4 linked regions of the Saccharomyces cerevisiae S288C genome follow. The gene in region 3 interacts genetically with the main gene of each other region. Each region holds a gene or a part of one and is shown on either strand. Other genes may lie near its edges. The genes, in order: AHC1, CHL4, YKE2 and BFA1.

Region 1 (3,920 bases), on a different chromosome or scaffold from region 3:
GGAGGTAAGATCACTGGACAAAGGTTGATTTGAAGAGTCGAACCACACACCTCTTCGTACTTGATAAGTAGGGCCTTCCCAATAGGTAGGGGACAATTCCATGTGAGAGAGGTCGACTTTAAACAGGTAATCTTCGTTGACTAAAACAGGCCTGCGTTCTTGACGCTTACTGGCCTTTTCCAAACGATTAGAATCATCAACGGAGAACGGCTTAAACTTTTTGGGTGAGTGTAAAGTTTGATATGTGGGTAAATAGGGTTTGGAGTTGGGTACGTCTATGGCATAGAACCATGGTACATAAATGTGATTTAACCTTACGAAAATGTTTCTAAAACGAGTGCTGGAGGGAAGGCCTCGATGAGTAAACCGTAGCATTTCAAGTAATTGTTCACTGTGAGTATATTCAGTGATCTTCAATATTAGGGAATATGCAAAAAAATACAATCCACTTTTTCTTCCAAAGCGACAAATTAGGTCAGAAAACCAACAGAATATTATATTACGTAATTTACTTATTTATATGTGTGTACTATGTATGAGAACCACGCAGTCTTGATTTCGACCTTAGATTGTAATAAGATGATGATTTTGCTGCAGGATCAGGACCCTCAAGTTCATTAGTCAAAAGGGCCGCTTTTCTTGGTTTCTTGTCAGTGGGATTTGCTCTCAACCTTTCTCTTAAAGGTAAATCTTCCATGGGAGTAGAGCTATTCAAGCTCAGTTTTCTCTTACGCAGCAATTTTCTTTGTAAGGAGGAGGATAGCACTGGCGGAGAGGGTGGGTCCGTAGTCGTTGTTGTTGTAGCCGTTGCTGAGAGAGACGGTGATGGGACGTAAGAAGCTTCGTCATCAGATTTGGAAGATTCCTCTTCTTGCTCCTTTTGATATCTTAATTGAATTTCACGTTGCTTCAAATATTCATTCAAATCATCCGGAGTTTCATTAACCATGTCAATCAGTTTTTTGAAGTCTTCTTTATTTTGGTATAGTTTTTCTAAATGAGGAGTGTTCTTGACAGTCTTTGGAGCCCGCGTATGGTTCTCGGAGTGGTTGATTGGTGATTGTGGTTTTGGGATTGCAATGTCAGAGGGTAGGTAGTCTTTGTTTGGGTCCAAATTTAGTTTCTTGAACTTAGATAAAATTTCCGGATCCTGCTTATCATTAGGAAGTAGTTTTTGGTTGTTTAAAACTGCCAATGGTTGGCTTGAATATAGTTTAGAATGTTTTAGTCGAGTATGGTTCACGATACCTTGCGCGGAAGTGAAACCGGAACGGTCACATTTGGAGCACGTAATTATAACCAAAATGCCGTCATATCTTCTAAAAATGGGCTCATTATTTTCAGTCTTACCGATGATACCGCTATTGCTCGTCAAACAAGTGCTACTGTAATTACGTCTGTGGTTAAGATGCATCTGACTTGGTTTAAAAGGGAGTATCTGGAACCCCGGCTGCTCGTCTAAGGGGGAGATTGAGGAGGAACGAGGTGAAGAAATGCCATCCGAATTAGAGTGAGGAAGCGAGACGGGAGTGGGCTTGGTTATGGCTTCTGATAGAGATTTAGAACCTGTTAGCCTGTAATCAATTATATTCGAATTTGCCGGACGGAGGGCAGAAGGTTCTAGCAAAAGCCCGTTACTCTTGCTTCTAGTATGATAATGGTGGTGTGGTATGCGTGTTGTTGACAGATTTCTGTTGCTGCTCGAAGACAAAGGCTGACAGTTGATGTTATAATCCGATAGAACCGGGTATGACAGGTTATAATTTGATGCGTTCGTATTTTCCGTAGCCGTACTGTCGTGAAAGTGGCCGCCGAGCACGCTATGCTGCTGATGTTGTTTTATTTTGAGTTGATACGTCCGTTCGATTTTGTTCAATAGACCAGTATCCTTATGCAGGGTTTCCAAGAGAGCTAGTTTTGCGTTAACCTTTTGAACATTTCTTCGTAAGTGCCTAACATGCTTGTGGTTTAGCATTATATGTAGGTTCAAAACATTCTGTATTTCCCCTTTGGCACATTCGTACTTCAACCGCTGGGTATTTTCGCTATCCTTGTCCGGATTACTGGTGGCGGTGTCCATTTTGAAGGGCTCATCCATGTTGTTTTCCAAATCCTGAGGAGACTTTGGCGTGGTAACCTGATAAACGTTCGTCATCTTAGAGGATGACGATGAGGAAGAATTAGGATTATGATGCTGGTGCTGCAGTTTATCTTGGGCGGGACTCATCATGAGGAGATGGACATATACACAAAGTGTTGGATGAGAAGCGTGAGCCCGAAGAGTAGTGAAATGCCGAAGATCAGGGTGTTTATATGAACGAACACTAGCTTACAAATGTGGAAACGGGATCCTTCAGAGGTAAAATGCGCCTTCAGTGGCCAAAGTTCATCACCTTCCTTAGCACGGGTTCTTGCTGTCTGCTCTTCCTGCTTCTTCCCTGTTCGTTTTTCCCTCTTCCTACGGCTATGCACAGTGGCAAATGCACTGCATGTGTTTCTGTGGCGGGTATCCCTCAATTGCGGGTAACAATAAGTAACTCAACATCACGAACGACGTTTATGTTTGCTGTTACCACAAAGGGTAAAACGTCAATAAAAGCAAGCAATGTTATTCGTGCCAGAGAACTATATCTGGCGTACGTCTTATATATAACACAAGCAAGGGCAAATACGTGGTTAGTGGTGTAAAAACTGAAGGGATTAATTTACATACAACTAGATCCATCTTTCTCAAAAATGACTTCAGTATCGCCCTCGCCACCTGCCAGTCGATCGGGCTCAATGTGCTCCGACTTACCGTCCTCTTTGCAGACTGAGAAACTGGCACATATTATAGGTCTTGATGCCGACGATGAAGTTCTCCGGCGCGTAACCAAGCAGTTGAGCAGATCTAGGAGAATTGCTTGTCTGACTGGGGCAGGCATTTCGTGCAACGCGGGCATTCCTGACTTTCGCTCTTCTGATGGGCTCTACGACCTAGTGAAAAAGGATTGTTCACAGTATTGGTCTATCAAGTCCGGCAGGGAAATGTTTGATATTTCGCTATTTAGAGATGACTTCAAAATATCCATTTTTGCTAAATTTATGGAGAGGCTCTATTCAAATGTTCAATTGGCAAAGCCGACTAAGACGCACAAGTTCATTGCGCATCTAAAAGATAGGAACAAACTGCTGCGCTGTTACACGCAAAACATCGATGGGCTCGAAGAAAGCATAGGACTTACTTTATCAAATAGGAAATTACCGCTTACCTCATTTAGTTCACATTGGAAAAATCTGGATGTCGTTCAGTTGCACGGCGACCTGAAAACTCTTTCGTGTACAAAGTGCTTCCAGACTTTTCCCTGGAGCAGGTACTGGTCTCGTTGTCTAAGAAGAGGTGAGTTACCATTGTGTCCGGATTGCGAAGCACTTATCAACAAGAGATTGAATGAAGGAAAGCGAACTCTTGGTTCTAATGTGGGTATTCTAAGACCTAATATCGTCCTGTATGGTGAAAACCATCCATCCTGTGAAATTATTACGCAAGGCCTAAATCTTGACATAATTAAAGGCAATCCTGATTTTTTGATCATCATGGGTACAAGTTTGAAAGTTGATGGTGTGAAACAACTGGTAAAAAAATTAAGTAAGAAAATTCACGATCGTGGCGGCCTGATCATTCTCGTAAACAAGACACCCATTGGCGAATCCTCTTGGCACGGCATTATAGACTACCAAATCCACTCAGATTGTGATAATTGGGTCACATTTCTTGAATCCCAAATACCAGATTTCTTCAAGACGCAAGATCAAATTAAGAAGTTAAGACAGTTAAAAAGGGAGGCGAGCGACTTGAGAAAGCAAATGAAGGCCCAAAAAGACTCAATCGGAACCCCCCCAACAACCCCTCTACGAACTGCCCAGGGGATTGATATTCA
Region 2 (3,678 bases), on a different chromosome or scaffold from region 3:
CTAAATCGCTAATAGGTCAACCTATTGAAGATATTGATTCTAAAGTAAATAAGGAATTAAAAGAATGCACGTCGTTATTTATAAAAGAATATTGTGCTGCAAAACATATTTTCTTTGACTCTCCCTTGTTTTTGATAGTATTGAGTGGTTTAATTTCTTTCCAATTTTTCATCAAATACAAAACCATCAGGGAGTTAGCGCACGTTGACTGGACTACGAAAGATGAGTTGCCATTTGATGTCAAGTTACCAGATTTTCTGACTCATTTCCATCCGATCTTCATCTGTCCCGTCTTAAAGGAGGAAACCACTACAGAAAATCCTCCTTATTCACTGGCATGCCATCACATCATTTCTAAAAAGGCGCTAGACAGATTATCGAAGAACGGAACAATTACTTTCAAGTGCCCATACTGCCCCGTAAATACTTCAATGAGCAGTACAAAAAAGGTTCGTTTTGTTATGCTTTGACTGAAATTTTTGCATAGGTTTTTTTTTTTTTTTTTTATTGGAAGCGATAACAGAACACAGTAGTTTTCTACAGTAAACCACCTTTAGCAACCTGCTCTCGCTGAAAATCTCCATTCATTATCGTTCCTGAGAACGATCCATTTTCTCCAGCCAACCACCCAGGAACTTTATCAATATTTATTAAATTTTTATCGCATAGTTCGTGTAATCCCCCAAAAATATCATTACCATTAAATTTCAATTTTATGGTAATTATTCTACTGTTTATTTCGTTTTTTAAAGTGAATCCAACTTTTTCAATAGGAACTAAGGAACTGTATCTAGAAATGTACACTGGCTCACCAGAATCTTCATTTTTCTTTCCATTCCTAATATTGTGGACATGTTCGTTAAATTCTTTCAAATCATTATATTTCTGATCCATTACGCCGTTTGCTGAACCTTTGAATTTGATCATGTTTTTCTCTAACCTTAGTCGTCTAATTTCAGGTTCTTCTTTTCCGTAAAAATTCTCATCGTCATTTAAGAAAGAATCATCAAATTCTCTAACCATTACCTTTTTACCAGTAAGGCCTTGGTGCTTTTTGTAGTCGTGTAGTGGTGACCGTTCAAAGTTAGCACTAGCATAACATTCCCATGGGCCCATAGACTCCGCAAATCTCGAAGGTCCTAATAAAGTCATTATATTATGTATTGATTTCACGGGTATTTTCTGTACCGGTTTGAAGATGATTGTTTCTCTTTCTGATATCGTTCGACTAATGCTCTGCAAAACTAGTCTAGCATAAATATCCTTGTCAACTGAATGGAAAATTATTGGAGAATTTAGCGGGAATGCAACGTAATATGGTCTCCTTGATATTAATGGTTTCCCTTGGAATTTGTCTAACTTGTTGTAAAGAGACTCTTTATTTATACTCCCTATATTAGGCGTACTCAAAAATAAATTATTGCTGTCAAATAGCTGTATTCTGGTAATTAACACTGGCAAAGAGGGATGTTTAAACATGTAAACATGACAATGGTAAATTTTCGCTAGATCTGTTTGTAAATTTTCTATAAATTTGGCAGGTTGGAGCTTTACTACGTAAGGTTTCCCATCTCCCCGTAAAGCTTTTGATGGAAGCCACTTAAATTTCTCTGGTTTACTTATCATTAAATGGCAATCTATTTCTGCTAATTGGAAAACATTCAGGCCATCCGGCCAGTATACGTATAATATCCTATTTACTATAACATTTCGCCTCACGCCTTTCTCAATCAGTAAGTCTAATGTTTCTGTCAATAAATATATGTCACCATCAAATGACCCACCGAATTTTGCGAACCATGATAGCGTAAGATCATATAATACCGTTACCGGCAGCTTCATCAATTGTTTGAAAACTACTAGTGTGTCGGAAGTTGGTACATAGTTATCTTCAAGCCGTAATTCGTTAGACATTAATTGCTACTCAAATATACTAGTCAAAGATAGTATCCACCAAAATCTTTCCCCGCTAAAATAACGCCAGATGCTTTCTATGCTTCTAATCTTTTACCATTTACCTTTGTTTATTTCAATATAAACTTTAATTTACAGTCCCTATCTATTGCCCGACTGGACTAACATGCACGTGACATTTTGTGATGGTTTTTCGTCCCTTACTTAGTACGCTTAGTACGCCACAGTTTATATTTTCTTGACAATAATAAAGAACCTGATTGTGGGTTAGAACTTGCTATACTTTTAGTTTAAAATAAGCAGGAAATAATCTTGAGTTCTGTATCATTATTATAAATAAAACTATATTTGTTCTCTTTGTCGCCCTCGGAACTTTCCTCATTACATTGACGAGGTATATATAGATATAGTAGATATACATATCTATCCATGGTATATATGTATGCATCTGGATAATTGAATAGGGTTTCATGTCATATGCCAAGAATTTGTTAATAATATAGTGGAAAAAAGTCAAGAGGTATTATAAATTTCAAAAAAGTACCAAATGGAGGATCAGGATGCTGCATTTATCAAACAGGCTACAGAAGCAATAGTGGATGTATCATTAAATATAGATAACATAGATCCTATAATAAAAGAGTTATTAGAAAGGGTAAGGAATAGGCAAAACAGGTTACAAAATAAAAAACCAGCACTCATACCGGCAGAAAATGGTGTTGATATAAATAGTCAAGGCGGTAACATAAAGGTTAAAAAGGAAAACGCATTACCAAAACCACCGAAGTCCAGCAAAAGCAAACCCCAAGATCGTAGAAATAGTACTGGTGAAAAAAGATTTAAATGTGCGAAATGTTCGTTGGAATTTTCAAGATCATCAGATTTGAGAAGGCACGAAAAGACACACTTCGCCATATTGCCTAACATTTGTCCTCAATGTGGCAAAGGTTTTGCAAGGAAAGATGCATTGAAAAGACATTATGATACACTGACATGTAGGAGAAACAGGACTAAATTACTAACTGCGGGTGGTGAGGGTATCAATGAATTACTGAAAAAAGTCAAGCAATCCAACATCGTTCATCGTCAAGATAACAACCACAATGGTAGCAGTAATGGCTGAAAGAGTAAATAGCGTGTATCTTCTCAAATAAGAAAATATATATTCATCTGCAACATTAATGTGATAGCATTTCCACTTCGACATTCGCCACTAGCTATAACGTTTACTGGCAATTATTATGAACTATGTCAGCTATTCATCACTTGTTGTTTTGTCTCGCTGCATCTGTCGCCCAGCTGGTCGAGCACCGTCTGTTCATTTTCTAGGTTATGAGCCAAACCTGTCAAATACTCAAGTTCTTGGCTACCTAATTGAGAGGCTACGCTCGGATACAGCCCATTAAGTGTATTCTCTTTCGGTTGGCCATGAATCATTGTGAGATTGCATTGAGGGGCAATCTGTACAACTGCACTGTTAAAATGTAAAACCTTGCCATTCTTTTTGAAAAAATTTGCTTCGGCAACGTTTTCAATGGTCATTGGATGCAGTTTATGAAGTTCAGCTTGTAACTTGGTATTATCCTTGTCATTGTTATTATATAAATTACCTTTCTTGTTTATTTTCCTTCTGGTACCACCAACTTTGTTTGCTGCTGATAACTTGTGCAGCTTAGCTAATTTTTCTTGATCTACAGGCATTTGATGTTGTAGGATTATGTAGTAGTTTATTTAATTTAGCCGTATTTATTTCTATCAGGGAAC
Region 3 (2,872 bases):
GGAACTAATGTCACAATTGGCTATTCCAAGCGCCTTTCTCTTTGAAACTGCAATTCCTGAACTACACAGATTGTCCGATGATATGATTTACTTTTCCAACGAAAAGGACCACCATGATTCTGCATGGTATGCTAAGAGATTGGCTGTTTCGAGCACCTACATTGGTTCAAAGTTATTTATGGCTCAGGATAAATCCCACAATTACAAAGAAACGTTTACTTTTGCAAAGGATAAATTACATAGGGTCATGCGTTTGGGTGAGTACTATAACAATACTGAAGAGTTTGCCTGGTATACGTTAATGTCTACGGTAAATTTAATCAAATCTCAATTAGTTAGGGGTTAAGCAATCTTACATGTCAATTTGAAGTTTAGGACAGTGAAATGCGTAGGTATTTTGTTTGTAAGTTACATAATTGTATATAAAAGAAAATTTTATTTTGGGCAGATTTATTGGTACTGTGCGCTTTCTTGTCTTTCCGAGGACCTGTGAGTTTGTTTTACCTTCCTGGGCCAGTGGAAGCTGCTGTATTGTTCAGTTTAATTAGCTCGCTTCTCATCTTTTCTAGTTCTTCCTGCTTGTCCCTTATGTTCTTTTCGCATCTTGTAATTTCTGTTTCGATGAACTCTAATCTTTTGTCCACGTTGGTACGTGCCTCACTTTGTTCAACTGGTAAAAGGACATTGCCTGTCAATTTGTACACAGGTGTATCTTCTTCTAATTGGTCAAACTCTTCATTTACAATCTTGTTTTCTTGTAATTGTGTCTCTAATTTTTGTCTGGCCACAATAAACTCTTCTAACTCATTTTGCAACTGTTGATATTTGGCACCTAATTCAGACATTTTTGCTTTTGTTCCTCCACTCAAATGTAGTCTTTTTCAATTCTGAAGTGGGATTATTTATAGATGACGTTTGACTTGATGAAGTTTTATTGCCTTTACTTTTTTTTTTCTTTCGCATCAAAATTTCAGACTTCATTGAAATCAATTTAAGAAGTTGCGTGGCAATAGGTGGCAACAGGCGAAATAATAAGAAACAGCGACCAAGATATCATCGCACTACAGTAAAATTTTCATTTATAGCGATGCTTGTATGTTACAATAATCTTTTTTCCCCATCATATTTTGCTAGAGTAGAGTGGTTTGACTAACTTATGTTACTTGATTCTTTTTGAAGTTTAAACAATGGAATGACTTACCAGAACCAAAACATCTGCTAGATCTCCCAGAGATTTCAAAAAACCTGCAATCTTTAGAAGTCTGCCCGGTTCCAAAAGTTGAGTTTCCTCAGGACTTGGATGTTCCTCAATATTCGACAGCCGTCATTACTACTAAGATAATGAACCCATTATTCCCCAAAAATCTGCTTCAATTAACCTCTATTGGTGAAATTAAAACTACATTGACGGTGAAAAGTCCAAGTCTTCCCCAATCTTCAGGTAAACACTCGTGGAATTACGACGAAAACTTTCCAAACGAGGTTGATCCTGATCAAAAAAATGACACCGCCGATGAAACAGTATATGGTTTTTCTTTCCCGATTTATTCATTTGGAAAGACGTTATTATTTTCTATGGAGGAGAATTTCATTAGTATATCGCCGATTTTTGGTAACATGATAAGTAGATCTATCATATCACAGTTAGCCCAGTTCTCCCCTGATATAATAGTAATTGGCACCTCTGATAAAATCGCCAGCATGAAGGTAATGACGGAAAATGAATGTACACTACAACCACCAGAATTTATAACGGGATTCATAGGAAGTGTGCTAACACAATTGATTGTCGGTCCCAGTAAGGGACTGAAATTTAAATGTCTTGTAGCGCCTAGTGAGGGGCCTAATGGATTTGAGAAACTTTCGTTGTCTGACATGGGTTCTTTAGTTGATTTGTGCGGTCAATGGCTTGGTTTTGAGCCTTCAAGATATTCTGAAGAATGCTATCGCTTATGGAGGTGTGATAGCGCGGCAATTGGTGCACAATCAGGCCTATATATATGAATGGCGATCACAGAATGTCAGTAATGGCGAGTGAAAGAGGCATAAGAGGGTACTTAAGCTCAAAATAACATATGACTTTTTTATTTAATAATATTTCTAAATATACAATATACAGCTTCCAAATCCTAAAGAAGAATATTAGAAGGGAATAAAAGATAATATATATATATATGAAAAACTTTAAAGGGAAGAAAAGTACACAAAAAGATGGGATATACTTTATTTCGATTCATTGTTCCTTTTAATCCTTACTTTTCTTCTTTTTATCCTTCTTTTCCTTTTTATCTTTCTTTTCCTTTTTGTCCTTCTTTTCCTTCTTTTCTTTCTTTTCCTTCTTCGATTTTTTCTCTTTCTTTTCCTTCTTTTCTTCATCATCATCTTCTAATTTTCTCTTCTTTGAGGATTCCTTTTCCTTGGTTTCTTCCACTTCTGCAGCTGGTTTATCTTTGTTATAAAGTTCCATGGCTTCTTGAATGGCTAATTCATTCTTCAAAGTTGGCTTACCAGTGTTGTAGAATTCTAATCTTTGCTCAACTTGTTTCTTTAGTACGGAACCAAAAACATTAGATGGTTCCTCAGAGTAATTGTCAATTCTAGAGGCCATAGAACATTTGTTAGCCAAGTATCTAGAAATACGACCCTTGTTCTTGGCAGAGGCCTTAGAAATAAAACCACTGTGGTAAATCAAACCGTATTTTGGAGTGTTACCTTTAGTTTTTAAAGCTCTGAACAAAGCCTTTTCAGCACCAAGAATTTGAACCGTTGAAGCTGCTTGCTTAGATAAATTAGTTAGGGAACCTGCGTGAGAAATTAATCTAGCACCAATCACTTCACCAATCAATTCTGATAAGTTTGGTGCAACAGTGTG
Region 4 (3,997 bases), on a different chromosome or scaffold from region 3:
ACAGAAAGAGCTCAGGTTTCCTACGATGCCAGGATGAAATTAGTCCCTGCTGATAGTGATGAAGAAGAATATGAAACTAGCCACATTTCTGACACGCCAGTCAGTTTAAGTTCGGCTAATGACCGGGAATCATTGACTAAAAAAAGGCAAAATACTGCAAAAATTATCCAAAATCGTCGCAGAAAGCGTAAAAGAGCAGCTGACCTATTGGATAGACGCGTCAACAAAGTATCCAGCTTACAAAGTCTTTGTATTACGAAAATTAGTGAAAATATATCCAAGTGGCAAAAAGAGGCTGATGAATCATCAAAGTTGGTATTTAACAAATTGAGAGATGTCCTTGGTGGCGTATCAACCGCTAATTTGAATAATTTGGCAAAAGCACTATCGAAGAATAGGGCCCTGAATGATCATACTCTGCAACTTTTCTTGAAGACAGATCTAAAAAGGTTAACTTTCAGCGATTGTTCTAAAATTTCATTTGATGGTTACAAAACGCTAGCCATTTTTTCGCCACACCTAACCGAATTATCCCTACAAATGTGTGGGCAGTTGAACCATGAATCATTGCTTTACATTGCTGAAAAGCTTCCGAACTTGAAATCACTGAATTTAGATGGACCATTTCTGATCAACGAGGACACATGGGAGAAGTTCTTTGTAATAATGAAAGGTAGATTAGAAGAGTTCCACATTTCTAATACGCACCGCTTCACCGACAAATCATTATCTAATTTATTGATCAACTGCGGTTCTACCTTGGTATCCTTAGGGTTATCCAGACTAGATTCTATATCAAATTACGCTTTATTACCGCAGTACCTAGTCAACGACGAATTTCACAGTCTCTGTATTGAATATCCATTCAATGAAGAGGATGTTAACGATGAGATCATCATAAATCTGCTAGGTCAAATCGGGCGCACGTTACGTAAATTGGTTTTGAATGGCTGTATTGACTTGACAGATTCAATGATAATCAATGGTCTGACTGCATTCATTCCTGAGAAATGTCCATTGGAGGTATTGAGCTTGGAAGAATCAGATCAGATCACTACAGATTCACTGTCGTACTTTTTCAGCAAAGTAGAACTGAATAATTTGATTGAATGCAGCTTTAGAAGATGTCTACAATTGGGCGATATGGCAATTATAGAGCTATTGCTTAACGGAGCAAGAGATAGTCTGAGAAGCTTAAATCTCAATTCATTAAAAGAGCTAACTAAGGAGGCATTTGTGGCGTTAGCCTGTCCTAATCTGACGTATCTTGATCTTGGTTTTGTACGTTGTGTTGATGACTCGGTGATTCAAATGTTGGGTGAGCAAAATCCGAATTTAACTGTAATTGATGTTTTCGGAGACAATTTGGTTACTGAAAAGGCCACAATGAGGCCTGGACTTACGTTGATAGGGAGACAGAGTGACAGTATATAATAAAATAAAGACATATAAAACGTGTATTAGATAGAAAACGGAAAATTGACTAATGTTTTTATTCCTATTATACTCAGATCGTCAAATGTTGCCTTTATTTTCTATTGAAGGGATTTTATGGCATCTCGCGAATAATAAACAAACAATAATAGTAAAAAAAAAAGTGTAAACTTATGTATTCAGCGCAGATAAAAGGAAAAAAACGAGAAGTTTGACGTAAAGAAAAAAGTTCGAAAACTTTTGTAGCAGTTGAAAGTTTTGTATGCTATGTCAATTAGGCCTCTCACGTTAAACGGTTTAGATGAGCCAGAAACCTCTTTTGAAGAACTGAATACAACTCTACCTCGCTTTCAATCCCATGAAACATTAACTTTGGAAGAAAACGTGCCACCATTGAGTACATCAACTTATATACCGCCTCCATCCTCGGTAGGTACTTCTGACACTGGCACGGTATTTTCCAATAGTACCAGCGCGTTTTGGTCTAATAAGCAAGCAGACGATGATCAGGACATGGAGGTAGACCAGGATGATGAATTTCTAAATGACTTCCAGGAATTCCAAAATAAAAAGGATGATTTTGACGATGCTATTAAAACAAATTTTCATTTGAGAAATGGATGTCGAACTGGCCCTTTCAAAAACGACATTTTCGCAGAAGAGTTTGATAGAAAACTGAGTTTGGAAGATAAACCAAGGCTAAAGCAACCTAGATCAATGATGGAATTGAAACCAAAAAGAAAACTATCAAATAGCGTCACTTCAAGAAACTTAAGGTCTGGTAATTCTGTAAGATTTAAGAAATCTATGCCTAACTTAGCTTTAGTTAATCCAGCTATCAGAGAAGAAGAAGAGGACGAAGAACGAGAAAGAGAAGATCAACGAGAGTTTAATTACAAGATTGATAACGATACGCAGGACACAATTTTGGCGAAATTCAGTTCAGATGATGAAGGTGACTTTCTGACAGGATTTGAAGAATTAGAGGGTGAAGCAATTGATGAAACGATTTCTTCGAACGATAAAGAAAGTGCCGACCATCCGCGTTTCTTAAAGAAGTCATCCTCATCTTTGCCATTAAAAATATCACCTGCACAATATGATATAGTAAAGCATGACGAATTATTAACTCCAGGTCTTCATAGGCGACAACGAGATTGGAATACCCAGCAGGAACTGGACTCTTTTAAAGAAAAACGATCAGTAAGACACTGTTCTAATCAAAATGTACAACTCAATGGTCCAGCTAAAATCAAAACAATAAAACAGCAAATTGATCATAATACTCCAATGAAGAAAGGTTCTATGATATATAACCCGAAAACTATGAAGTGGGAAGGAAATGAAAACGTCTTAAGCAAATTTAGTGATGTAGACACGGCAAACAGGAAAGCTTTATTGATAAAAAACAAGCTACAACGAGATGCAGATTCTAAGAAGCAAAAATATTCTGATCTACAGCATGCAAGAGCCACTTCGAGAAATCAAAAGGTCATCGGGAACATGATTTTAGATGAACAAAATTTAAGATGGGTTAGTGTTTCAGAGGAAGAAGCAGACCCTTTTGCAGGCATTCCTGAGATAAACTTACCACCAGTTGGCAAAAGTATGAAAAAACGTAGCTCCTCACCATTTTTGCGTTCCAAAAGCCAAGTTAATACGCCATTTGTTTCAAATGACAATGATGGCGTTTATCAAAGTACGGCTGCTCAAGCAAGACTCCGTAAATACCATTCAATGAGGACACTTAACGGTACAACAGAAACTCCAGAAATAAGCTCTACTTTCCATTTGAGTTCAAGAGCATTGGAAAAATTTTACCACGAGGAGAACAGGTGGTGTAAAAAGTTAGCCTCATGGTTTATACCCCGAGATGAGACCATTATCAGTGTTGATGAGGAAACAATCATGGATGAAAGTACGGTCAATAGCAAGAGAAAATCCTATATGTATGAAATCAGGAACATGGTAATCAATTCGACAAAAGATTAGCCCTTTAGCCTTCTTATAACTGTTTCTTTACCGTTATCTTGAGTACATTCATTTCTCTTACATTCCAAAATTAGATAGAACCTTGAATCGTGTCAACTTTTCGCCGACATTTCGCGTCTGACAGAAAAAGAAATGTTGCAGAAAATTCGAATAGATGTTTCAAATGAAAATAGACCATGAGGGACACATTAACATTTCAAACAAAAGAGCCCTTGATGATTATTAAAACAGATCTTTATGGTTTGTTTAGCAAACACTTTGGTAATTTCATGAATATTTGACTAGCAGGAACAGAAAATCAAAAATGTTTAACCATGATTGGAAGTACTCCATTAATTCTAAGACTTTCGCCGATTTAAACATTGAATTATTTCGAAACCACAAGTTCAAAACTGTTTTAAATTACATAATAGGTGTAGTTGGGTGGAATGGATTAAAACTCGCCCTTTTTGTTTCTGACATTTACACATGTATCAAATTGCTGGCATTCAACTCCTGGTCAAACAACATCATCAAACCATACTTACCCTTTAAAATATCCAAATGGTTGTTTAGCGGTTGTATTTTAGCA

What was found.
Region 1: mutations in YKE2 (region 3) and AHC1 together harm fitness more than expected from each alone (negative genetic interaction), as found in Saccharomyces cerevisiae (5 studies listed by BioGRID, with this or other methods).
Region 2: mutations in YKE2 (region 3) and CHL4 together harm fitness more than expected from each alone (negative genetic interaction), as found in Saccharomyces cerevisiae (7 studies listed by BioGRID, with this or other methods).
Region 4: mutations in YKE2 (region 3) and BFA1 together harm fitness more than expected from each alone (negative genetic interaction), as found in Saccharomyces cerevisiae (5 studies listed by BioGRID, with this or other methods).

The regions. Positions count from the first base shown.
Region 1 is NC_001147.6:375,483-379,402, forward strand, and holds AHC1 (Ahc1p), read right to left. Parts: upstream 2,231-3,920; coding exon 530-2,230; downstream 1-529. Other genes in the region: DDL1 (putative carboxylic ester hydrolase), read right to left, coding at 1-375; NAD-dependent histone deacetylase HST3, read left to right, coding at 2,737-3,920.
Region 2 is NC_001136.10:963,349-967,026, reverse strand, and holds CHL4 (Chl4p), read right to left. Parts: upstream 1,915-3,678; coding exon 538-1,914; downstream 1-537. Other genes in the region: ubiquitin-protein ligase RMD5, read left to right, coding at 1-470; MET32 (Met32p), read left to right, coding at 2,462-3,037; CCR4-NOT core subunit BTT1, read right to left, coding at 3,166-3,615. UniProt on the Saccharomyces cerevisiae protein: Component of the kinetochore, a multiprotein complex that assembles on centromeric DNA and attaches chromosomes to spindle microtubules, mediating chromosome segregation and sister chromatid segregation during meiosis and mitosis.
Region 3 is NC_001144.5:546,985-549,856, reverse strand, and holds YKE2 (tubulin-binding prefolding complex subunit YKE2), read right to left. Parts: upstream 846-2,872; coding exon 501-845; downstream 1-500. Other genes in the region: ubiquinone biosynthesis protein COQ9, read left to right, coding at 1-346; PBA1 (Pba1p), read left to right, coding at 1,088-1,093, 1,180-2,004; snoRNP complex protein NOP56, read right to left, coding at 2,246-2,872. UniProt on the Saccharomyces cerevisiae protein: Binds specifically to cytosolic chaperonin (c-CPN) and transfers target proteins to it. Binds to nascent polypeptide chain and promotes folding in an environment in which there are many competing pathways for nonnative proteins.
Region 4 is NC_001142.9:532,326-536,322, forward strand, and holds BFA1 (Bfa1p), read left to right. Parts: upstream 1-1,701; coding exon 1,702-3,426; downstream 3,427-3,997. Other genes in the region: UV-damaged DNA-binding protein RAD7, read left to right, coding at 1-1,434; KCH1 (Kch1p), read left to right, coding at 3,731-3,997. UniProt on the Saccharomyces cerevisiae protein: Part of a checkpoint which monitors spindle integrity and prevents premature exit from mitosis. This cell-cycle arrest depends upon inhibition of the G-protein TEM1 by the BFA1/BUB2 complex.